Cricetulus griseus: one gene and its partners. The protein of the gene in region 3 interacts with the protein of the main gene of each other region in a biochemical or structural test. Links are inferred from orthologs where the notes say so. Each region holds a gene or a part of one and is shown on either strand. Other genes may lie near its edges. The genes, in order: Hsf1, Tert and Ptges3.

Evidence for each region.
Region 1: the proteins of Ptges3 (region 3) and Hsf1 form a complex in vitro, tested with the Homo sapiens proteins (2 studies listed by BioGRID). The link is inferred for Cricetulus griseus from reciprocal best matches to the Homo sapiens genes PTGES3 and HSF1.
Region 2: the proteins of Ptges3 (region 3) and Tert form a complex in vitro, tested with the Homo sapiens proteins (2 studies listed by BioGRID). The link is inferred for Cricetulus griseus from reciprocal best matches to the Homo sapiens genes PTGES3 and TERT.

Annotation. Positions count from the first base shown.
Region 1 is NC_048595.1:373,787,107-373,790,756, forward strand, and holds part of Hsf1 (heat shock factor protein 1), read left to right. Parts: intron 1-2,110; coding exon 2,111-2,219; intron 2,220-2,587; coding exon 2,588-2,724; intron 2,725-2,982; coding exon 2,983-3,107; intron 3,108-3,650. UniProt on the Homo sapiens protein: Functions as a stress-inducible and DNA-binding transcription factor that plays a central role in the transcriptional activation of the heat shock response (HSR), leading to the expression of a large class of molecular chaperones, heat shock proteins (HSPs), that protect cells from cellular insult damage.
Region 2 is NC_048595.1:368,307,530-368,311,179, reverse strand, and holds part of Tert (telomerase reverse transcriptase), read right to left. Parts: intron 2,681-3,650; coding exon 2,500-2,680; intron 1,852-2,499; coding exon 1,672-1,851; intron 1,018-1,671; coding exon 859-1,017; intron 1-858. UniProt on the Homo sapiens protein: Telomerase is a ribonucleoprotein enzyme essential for the replication of chromosome termini in most eukaryotes. Active in progenitor and cancer cells. Inactive, or very low activity, in normal somatic cells.
Region 3 is NW_023276806.1:129,798,748-129,802,397, reverse strand, and holds part of Ptges3 (prostaglandin E synthase 3), read left to right. Parts: intron 1-1,171; coding exon 1,172-1,285; intron 1,286-1,742; coding exon 1,743-1,812; intron 1,813-2,417; coding exon 2,418-2,516; intron 2,517-3,309; coding exon 3,310-3,399; intron 3,400-3,650. UniProt on the Homo sapiens protein: Cytosolic prostaglandin synthase that catalyzes the oxidoreduction of prostaglandin endoperoxide H2 (PGH2) to prostaglandin E2 (PGE2).

The DNA of each region.
Region 1 (3,650 bases), on a different chromosome or scaffold from region 3:
GTTTCTCTGTGTAAAAGCTCTGGCTATCCTGGCACTTACTCTGTAGACCAGACTGGCCTCGAACTCAGAGATTCACGTGCCTCTGCTGGGATCGCAGGCATGCATCACCACTGCCCCAGCGCTCATTCTTACTCAAACTACCACACTGTCTTCAAACTGTAACCTCAGTTGGCCTATTTTTGTGCTTATTGACATGCGTTTCTCCCTGTTCTCATCTTCCTTGAGTCCCCAGGTGAATTGCTTGTTTGTTTGAGACAGGGTTTCTCTATGTAGCCCTGGCTATTTTGGAACTCACTATGTAGAACAGACTGGTCTGGAGCTCACAGAGATCCACCTGCCTCTGCCCCCTGAATGCTGGCATTAAAGGCATGCGCCAGCACTGCCTGGCTGTTGATTCCTATCTTTAACACATAGCCTGGGAGTTAACAACCCAGCTTTATATCCTATTTCCCATTCCTGCCGGAGGGTGAGCTCATGACCCTCCTAGGTCTCCCCTGAACATGCAACAGCTGTAATGTGTGCATAGCCTTTGGATTCCCAGGAATATTTCAGAGTCCCTAGTGATCCCTCATTCACCACCTTTTAAGGTTTCTGGCTAGCCTGTGTTATACATTGTCTCAGCAGCCATTTCAAATCTTCCTCTACATGTTTCTAAAGAGCCTCTGGACTGTGTCAGCTTCAGATCAAGCAAAGCCAGCCTTGCTTGGAGAGACCTCTAGCACCAGGACCTTGAGCTGTCTCTCACCCATGTTCCCACTGCCATTGCTCCCACTGGTTTCAAAGCTGAGGGGAAGAGTGGGACTGGATGTGTGATGTAAAGAGCCCACTGCTTTCCCTGATACCATACTCCCCCCGCCTCCCCAGTGCTTTTCCTGCTGCTTTGCATTCTCTTCCTCCTGTTTCCACCTGCCCTACTATTTCTGTTTAGACCTGTTTCATTCCTCTGCATTTTGGAAAGCAGCCCCAGTGCTAATCCACTGGGCTCCTTTTCATTTTTTCTACCTGCCTGTATTATAGATCCCCCACCCCAGCGAAGAGACCTGTTCCTTAGCTGATTTGTCTTGTGCATCCATGACGCTACTGTCCCTCCCCACTGTGGGGCCTCCCCACTCCGGGATCTAATGCCTCTGAGTTGCCATGGCACTTCTGCCCCTCCTTGTGGTTCTGGACTGTGTTCAGGAGAGCACACGCCCAGAAGTGCAGCCATGTAGCATTCAACAATCTTGAGTTCTAAAAAGAAGCCAGGCAGTGGTGGCGTGCTCCTTTAATCCCAGAATTTGGGAGGCAGAGGCAGATCTCTGTAAGTTCTGGACCAGCCTGGTCTACAAAAGTGAATTCCAGGACAGTCTCGAAACAACCCCCCACCCCCCAAAAAAAAGAGTGGTATTTCTGAGCAGGACTGTCTTCCAGCAGCAGAAATCCCATTCCTGTTTCTTTAGTTGCCACAATTTGGCTTCATAGAGCTGTGTGATATGTCTGTGTGTCTCTGCATATATGTGTGTACCACATGCATTCAAACCTACAGAGAACAAAAATGGATTATCAGGTCACCTGAAACTTGGAATTCCTGGCAGCTGTGAGCTGCCATGTGGGTGGTGGAAAACAAACTCAGGTCCTCTACAAGAACCATAAGAACTTTTAATCACTGAACTATCTCCATTTTATCTATTCTTTTGTTTTTGGAGACAGGATTTCACTGTGTATCCTGGCTGTCCTAGAACTCACTTTATAGACCAGGCTGGCCTGGAACTCACAGAGAGCTGTTTGCCCCTGCTTCCAAGTGCTGGGATTAAAGGCATGTACCACCACACCCAGCTGATCTTTGTTATTTTTAAGGAAAAATTTGCTGATTAAAGCTAAATGATTAAAGCTAAATGTCCCTAGAGACAACCAGAATGCTGTAGGTGATCTATGAGTCTAAAGTTAGCAACTGAAAACTGCCAGGAAGTAGGATCCTGTCTCTGACTCCATGGCCTGGATGGCAGCCATAGAGTGCTAAGATTGAACTCCCTCCTGCTTCTCTCTGGAGAGAGATGGAGAGGCGCTTCAGGCCATGGTGGAAATATGGCAGCAGCTGCTATATATCGAATGCCCATGTGTCTCCTGACAGAGTGGGAACAGCTTCCACGTGTTTGACCAGGGCCAGTTTGCCAAGGAAGTGCTCCCCAAGTACTTCAAGCACAACAACATGGCCAGCTTCGTGCGGCAGCTCAACATGTGTAAGTACCTCTTGTGGAATGGTAGCCTCCTTCCCAAGGGTGTGGAGAAACAGACCCCAACATATTGCTGAGAGAATAAAGCCTGGGTTGGCTAAGGAAGGATCCTTGTGGGTGTAAGCCTGAATTCCCCAAGGAAGAAAGAGTGTATGAGACCCTACCCTAGTAGCTATACTTCCATTTGCAAGAGAGGAAGCTGAGCAATGACAAGGTCTTTTCAAACCATGATTAACTAGCTATGGTAAATGGACACCAGCCAGAATTTCCTACAGTTTTTTAGAAGGCCCCTTGCCTGCCCTAGGCTATGACTAGGCTGTTGGGGGTCTGGTTCCTGGTCCTCAAGCAGAACTGCCCCACCCCCATATGCACAGATGGCTTCCGAAAAGTAGTCCACATTGAGCACGGTGGCCTGGTCAAGCCTGAGCGGGATGACACCGAGTTCCAGCATCCATGTTTCCTGCGTGGCCAGGAACAGCTCCTTGAGAACATCAAGAGGAAAGTGACCAGCGTGAGTCACAAGCCCTGAGTACAGCCCCTCCCTGTCCTCATATCTCCCTGCAGGCTATGGGCTGGGAGTAGTAGCTAGGTGGTGCTGCAAGACTAGCCTGAAAGCATAGCCTGTACTTTTACTCATCTTTCTCTAACCCCTCCTCCTCCCCCTCCCAGTGTTTCCCAGACTCTCCCCACTCCTTAGATTTCCAGGTGAAGCACAAGAGCCAACCACACTCCAGAGCCACTTCAGACTCTTGTATGCCCCAACCCTTAGGTGTCCACCTTGAAGAGTGAGGACATAAAAATACGCCAGGACAGTGTCACCAGGCTGTTGACGGATGTGCAGCTGATGAAGGGGAAACAGGAGTGTATGGATTCCAAGCTCCTGGCCATGAAACAGTAGGTCCCAAGGCTCAGGAGGGTGGCCAGGTTGCTTTGGGTCTTTATTGTGCAGAGCCATTCAGGATTCCCTCCCCCTTCCCAACCTGCCTTCCATTGTTTCTGTGGCAAAAACTGTGGCCTATTCATCTCCATAGAATAGAGTTGGAACTTCCTACTGTACCCACTTCTCACTGCCCTGCTGGGCTCCACATTTTCAGGATTTGAGCATACAGACCCTCCTTGCATGTGCCTCCCTTAAAACCAGGCTGGCAGGAGCTGACCAGAACAGTCCTGGGGCCAGATCTCCCCACTGTTCTCTATTCCCAGTGGCCCCTACTCCTCCTTTATCACTCAGTACAGGGCATCACAGTCCTCAGCTGCCCTTTACCCCCAACCTGAGGGTACTCAGCAGTTTAGTATCTTTCCCAATGCCCTGCTCTGTATGTCTAGCCAGTTTGTGACAAGTCCTGTGGCCCCCCTTTCAGCTAGGATCCTGAAGTGTACCATCAGGCTCTATCCATGGCCTCCTTCCCCGGCTGACACTTGAATCCTCCCCTGGAA
Region 2 (3,650 bases), on a different chromosome or scaffold from region 3:
GATTGGTATGTAAAATAAGATTGTTTTTAATTTAAATAAAAATTTATTAATAAAGAAAAAAATAGCAATATAAATAGAAAATGCCTGCATTTTCAAAATAATGAAGTAACATGCTTCTAAATCACTAAAGAGTATATCAAAAACTGCAATAAATAAATAAATAGAGAAGGTTTTGAACTGAGTGATAATGAACTGACAAAAGCCAGCATGTGTACGGGACTACTGAGGGGTCTTGCAGAGAAATGTATAACTTCAGGTGTTTCCTTGGGATTGGTGTAATGGCTAAGCAAGTAAAGACACCTACCACCAAACCTAAGGACTTAAGTGCAATCCCCAGACCCATGTAGTGGATGGAGAAAATAACTCACACATGCTGTCATCTAGCCTCTACAGAGGCACAATGGTAGCTGCTCTGACCAGAGTAGGGAAGGAATCGCCTGGGTGTAGTGATCCTTGGTGCAGAAGCCACATGGCCACTGCACATATCATGCATGTATAGTTAAAGCTTGCCTGTGAGTCTTGTATGTCCTATATATAGGGAAAGGAAGTCACCTTGCGCCTCTCCCAGGCCTAAATTCCTCTGCCTTTGAACCCACAGACCCCACCTACCTACTGAAGAGGATATTGGGGGGATCTCCATTGGGAGTCCTGTAGAGGGAGGCACGCTGGGGTCTGACAAATGATCACTGGCACCATGGATACCCAAGCCACAGACATGTCCTTGTATGGACATGCCAGAAATGTGGACCTATCACAGCCTTACCTGTGTCACTGAAAGAGTCCAGATATTCACGACATGAAAAGCCCTGTGCCACCAGCATGCTCACAGCACAGATGAAAAGTCCACCATAGCCTCACCTGTCTCCTGAAGGACCTGTGGATTTGGCCTTCTCTATCTCTTTGGATCACTGCATATTGGCGGATACAGTATGTGTTCTCCGGGTGTCTGATCATATTGGCAACAACCTCCACAAGCTTCTCCTGCGGGATGGCATCATATGCCCCGGTCACATCTGCCTGTGGAACACATGTGAACACTAAGCATGGTTGGGCCTAGGCCCAGGGGTCCTGCTGGCTCTGTCCTTGGTGTCTGGGTTCCAACCTGCCCTTAAGCAAACCAGTAGGAGATAGACAGACAGGAGAAAGAAACTCCATGCTCCTGTACTAGCCTAGCCACATGTGCCTATCCCACAAATTTCCCATTCCAGACAAAGGACCCTGGGGCATAGTGGGTCTACATTCCTCTCTCCAGCCCAATATCCCAGATTGAGACCCTTAGGTCAAGGAAAACCTACATTCTCCTTGCAGAGCCTCACAGCCTGCAAGGGCCCCTGCCTAACACAGATACTGAAGCATGCAGGCCCTAGTGGTAGACAGAGTCAATCATGGCTAGTAGGACCCAGCATCCAACGGGATTCTCCTATAGGGTAGATCCCAGAGGAATTGGAGCGCACTGTCCAGGGAATCCACACAAGGCTATCCCAGAAGTATGGGGTCCCCCTGCTCCAGAGAGAACAGGAGGCCACGGTAACTTTGGCCTATATATGGTAGCAGGGGCCAGCACTCTCAACCACCACCTACAATAGGGTCACCCAGTGTTGGCTGCTCCAAGGAGGTCCCTTGAGTCAAGACCATGGGAGCAAATGTGATGGCGGGAGTCCAAATGATCACCTTAACAAAGTACATCCTGGGTGCCGGGTTCAGAGTGCGTACATGCAGTACAAAGGCCCGCCAGGTCCTGTAGACATCATTCAGGCCCAGTACAGAAGCCCCCAGAAGGTTAGTATGTTTTGTCCGTTCATAGTTGAGCACGCTGAACAGAGTCTTGAGACACTGGGTGAAATGCTGAGCCTGGGCCAGGGCCACAAAAGACACATTAGAAACGAACCTGACAGACTGTCCCAGACTACCCTGATATCTCAGAGTCTTAGAAGACCTATCCCACTAAGTCACTTGACTGCATTTGGGGCACTCACCCAACCTGCTCCAACCTGTTCTCACCTACCACCAAGGGCACTGCCGTCTAATGAGACATGTCCACTGGGCTGGGGTCAGGTTCAGGATCAACTTCACTCACAAATGTCCCCCAGCTGGGCTGAGGCATCAATAGCTTCACTTTGTGTTCTGGGCATTACTAATGACAAGTCACCCCACACACCTTACATTGGCACCGGGAGGGGTAAGATGTTGTGGACATCCAGCTATGGTGAAGGGAGGCAGCTGCCCTCTTGGTTACTTTGGCCCCTATCATGGAGGCCATAAAGTATCTACCCTACCTGTCAGGATCCCTGAGGTATCTCCAAGGTTTGTGTCCCAAGCCCTTTGGCTCTTGAGACCATCTCCCATCTGTAGGGCCTTTTCACACGCTGAAGTTTTGGACTTGGGAACAACCAGTTCCTCGTCCTTCCTGTTCTGTCTGCCCAGGGCTCAGAACTTCATGAGCCCTTGTGTAACCAGAGAGCAGGCTCAAGCGGCAGTACAGGAGCCAAGTGCAATCACCTGCTTCCCTTTATTAAAGGCTCTGGCGCCCATGCTATAACTCATGTTCACAATGGGCCGAAGACCACTGGGCTTGGGGATGAAACGCAGTCTGCAGATGGGCATGGCTGGCCAGGCCTCCTGGTGCTGCCTGACCTCCTCTTGTGACAGTTCCTGCAGCTGCACTCTCTCAAGGTGTTGCCTGTTACAGAGAGCATTGTGGAGTTACGACATGAGCATGTGGGAAATTCGAGAGACACATCCCATCAGGGTGGTTAGGAACTTGGGTCATTTGACAACTGGCCAAGCTATGGGACTACATCCAGGACCATAGCAACTCTCGACAACCAGGCAACCCACACAACTGTCTGGGCAGGATACATGACATAAAGCCTGTGTTTGCACTTGGGACATCTGATCCCGTAGTCTGCCCTCGTGTTCCCTTCTGGGGTGATCCCATTGGCCAGGGCACTTTTGAAGCAATCTGCTGCACTCTGTGGATAACCTGGCTTAGACACAGGTGTGAAAGCAAAAAGCATCCCTGCCCACCTCAGGTTCATGTGTGCCAAAGTACATAGGAAGTCCTGTGTTGGCTGCTAAGGATCCCACAAGCACAGTGGGTGATATGTAACACATAATGAGGGTTGGACTTCATGAAACATGGAGCCGGGTGGCGATGGCACACACCTTTAATCCCAGTGCTCAGGAGGCAGAGGCAGGAGAACCTCTGAGTTCAAGGCCAGCTTTGTCTACAGAGCTAGTTTCAAGACAGCCAGGGCAACCTTGGTTAACATGGCAGTCTGATCTCTGCAGGCCTTGCCTGGCATCTATTCTGCCTCCTCAACTTGGTCTATGTACTTTCCACTGGTACAGTAAATCCCAGCTCAACAAGCAAAGAACCTCAGCCACTCAGCGCCTCCGCCAGCTCTTGGGGTGGAATCTTGTGGTTTCCCACTGAGGAGGCTCCTCATATTGTACTTCCTTCAGGACATAAGGTAGAACCCATCTGACCCATGTACCAAACAAGCAGCTACTCTACTCCTGTTTGGTGCGAATTCCTCCTACGTTATTGAGCCTATAGATGGTGTAGGCCCAACTTAAGATTTTACAGGTCAGAAAGCAGGATCTCCAGTCCATGACTACATGGAGTCTATGTCCTGAAGGCCCATGGA
Region 3 (3,650 bases):
CCCGGGCAAGATAGACTTTTGTTTTCTTTTAAATGGTGTGTTGGTTGGTTGGTTGGTTGTTTTTCAGGGCTGGGTTTTGCTATGTAGCCCTAGCTGTCCTAGAACTGGCTCTGTAGACCACACTGGCCTGCTTCTGCCTCCTGAGTGCTGGGATTAAAGGTGTTCACCACCATGCATGGCAAACAGCAACATTTCTAAGACTGGGTTGCGCCAAAGGGAAAAGGCACTCCATACAAAACCCATCTTGTTTAAAATACTCTAGTGCTTGGGTTCAAGCCCAGGGGCTTGCTCATGCTATAATTGAGATAGGGTGCTTTTCCGTCTGCTTTCCCAATGCTGGGATTATAGGCATAAACCAGTACCCTCTAAGACCTGCCCTGCTGAGGACAGCAGATTTTGTCCTTATCCAGGTCTCTGAAATTTTCCGCCATTATAATCAAAATGTAGGCTGTTCTTGGTAGTGGGTAGTTTCATATACAGATACACATACATGTACACGCAAATAAATATACTTTTTTTTTTCCTAAGCTGGGGCTGGAGCAATGTCTCAGTGGTTTAAATTTCCCCCTGTTTTTCTTGGGAAGCCAAGTTTGGTTTTCAGCATCTGAATCTGGTGGTTCACAACTGCTTGTCACTCCAGCCTTTCTGACCTCTGTGGGCACTTGCACACAGGTGCATATCAGCAACACTAAGCCAGACCTTCGGGCTTCTGTCTGTAATCCAGCATTTAGGAGACAGAGCCAGGAGGATCATAGTTCTACACAGTTACTTCTAAATCAAGCCATGGCTATATAGAGACTCTGTCTCAATTACCACCTCCTGCAAATAATTCTCTGAAGTTACAGGCACATTCGTGTGTGCCTGTGTGTGTACACACACAAAGAAATGTTTCTTTTAAATTACTATAAAATAAACGAATAGCAATTGATAATATTCATAATAAATTTTACGAGGGATAAGGGGATTTGAAATCTCTCAAACGGCCAGGTGGTAGTGGCTTATACCTTTAATCCCGGCACTTGGGAGGCAGAGACAGGTGGGTCTCCAAGTTCAGGAAGGACAGCTGGGGCTACAGAGAGAAATTGTCTCAAAAAAATGATACATTGTTATATTAAATGTGAAGTTATAAGTATTAAATTCCTGCTTGAATTTATCTTTTTTTTTTTTGTAGGCAGCCTGCTTCTGCAAAGTGGTACGATCGAAGGGACTATGTATTCATTGAATTTTGTGTTGAAGACAGTAAAGATGTTAATGTAAATTTTGAGAAATCCAAACTCACTTTCAGGTAATTTGCTTTTTGTCTTAGGGTGACTATTGCTGTGATGAAACACCATGACCAGAAGCAACTTGGGGAGGAAAGGGTATATTGTTTATTGGCCTTATGCATCCACTGTTGTTCATCAGAGGTCAGGGTAGGAACATGGAGGGGTGCTGCTTAGTACTGACTTCAGGACAGGGATGGCCCCACCCACAGTGGGCTGTACCCTCTCCCATCAGTCACTAATTGAGAAGATAGATGCCTTGCAGTCTTGCCTACAGCCCAATCTTAGGGAAACATTTTCTTATTTGAGGCTCCCTTCTCTCAGATGAGTCCAGCTTATGTCAGATTGACATAAAACTAGCCAGCACTCATCGGTGTTGCCCAGAACTTATTTCAGACAATTGAGTAACTTAAAAGCTTATTTTCTTTTGTTGATCTGTTGTTTAAAGAGGCTGATTTGAATTTTTCTCTTTTTTTTTAGTTGTCTTGGAGGAAGTGATAATTTTAAGCATTTAAATGAAATTGATCTTTTTCATTGTATTGATCCAAATGTAAGTAGTATTAACACTTTATTCTGATTTAAATTATGAGGAAATGGGAATGCTGTAGTAAATAATTAAGTCTATTTGATTATTTGTAGAGCCTGTTACATATTTTGCAACCTTCCTTCCTACATGTTTTTATGTTACTGGACAGATGACAGTACCTTTGAAGCATTTTCCTAAATAATCTGAAATTTTAGTAGCTAAGTGTCTGGGGAAAGAAGCACATAGGTGATTTGTGCCTATAAGGTGACTTTTCAGGAAGTTGAGGCAAGACCGCTTAGCCTACATAGAAGAACCATTTCAGAAAAACAAGCCAAAGAAAAGAAAGTTTAGTATAGAGGATCACCAAAAACTAGTAACACTGAGGTTGGGTCTTGAGTTCAAGACCAGCCAGGCTGCACAGTAATGGCCAAATTATGGAAGTACAGCTTTGTGGCAGAGTACTTCCCTAGTACATTTCAAGGTCCTAGGTTTGGTTTCTAACAATCCTTCCCCACCACTACCACCAAAAAAGGGGGGGGGTTAAGTGGAGAGGGAGAAGTAGAATGGGACAGGCTATTCTTTACCATTTACAGTAGAGGTGAAATGATGTGATGATGCTCTTGTTTTAGGATTCCAAGCATAAAAGAACGGACAGATCAATTTTATGTTGTTTGCGGAAAGGAGAATCTGGCCAATCATGGCCTAGGTTAACAAAGGAGAGGGCAAAGGTGGGTTCTCATTTTCTGTTCTTGAGAAGTAAAATGAATTTTTGTAATAAGATTTTGTTGTTTTGGTTTGCTTTTTGTTGTTTTTGGAGTCAGGGTTTCTCTGTGTAGTCTTTAATAGTATGAAAACAGTGTCCTGCACTTCGCTTTCTTGCCAAGTGTCAGGAAGTCCCCAGTTGATGACAGAAATTTAGCATTCAAGAGACACAACAGGCTTTCGCATCAGGAGTTGGTGGCACGTTTGATGCTAAAACAAATTGGGACAAGCTTGCCTGGATGTCTTAGGGTTGCTTACTATTGCTGTGGTGAAAACCATAGGAAGCAACTTGGAGAAGAAAGGGTTTATTTTGCTTACACTTCCACAGGCATAGTCCATCACTGAAGGAACCTAGAGGCCAGAGCTGATGCAGGGGCCATGGAGGGGTGTTGCTTACTAGATTGTTCCCCATGGCTTACTGAGTCTGCTTTCTTGTGGAACCCAGGATCACCAGCCTAGGGATTACCCTACCCAAAGTGGGCTGGGCCCTCCCCTGTCAATCACTAATTAAAATACTCTACAGGCTTACCTCTAGCCTGATCTTACAGAGGCATTTTCTCAGTTGATTCCCTTCTCTCAGGCCTCTAACCAGTGTTGAGATGACAAAACATAGCCAGCACACTGGGCTATATAGTTGGAGCCTGTCCAGTTTTGGTTTCACTTGGGTTTTTGTCTTTTTTGTGCTAATTTATGTACCCTTAGTGGATGTACGTTCAAAAATCATAACATGTGGTGATGCTTTTGTTAATCTGTGTGTAGCTCAATTGGCTGAGTGTGGACTTCAACAATTGGAAAGACTGGGAGGATGATTCAGATGAAGATATGTCCAATTTTGACCGTTTCTCTGAGGTGAGTTCTCGTAGTGGCATCCTCTACCCTGTAGTCCTTTAATGTGCTTTTCCTTTTAATGTGTATGGGTGTTTTTTGCCTGCTTATGTGTCTGCACCATCAGGGAACCTGGTGCCCTGGAGGTCCAAAGACAGTGTCAGAGTGCCAGGAAATGGAGTTATGCAGAGGACTATGAGCCATTATGTGGTTGCCAGAAGTCAAACCCTGGTCGTTTGCAAGAACAAGTGTTCTCAACCAGCTCCTCAACATCA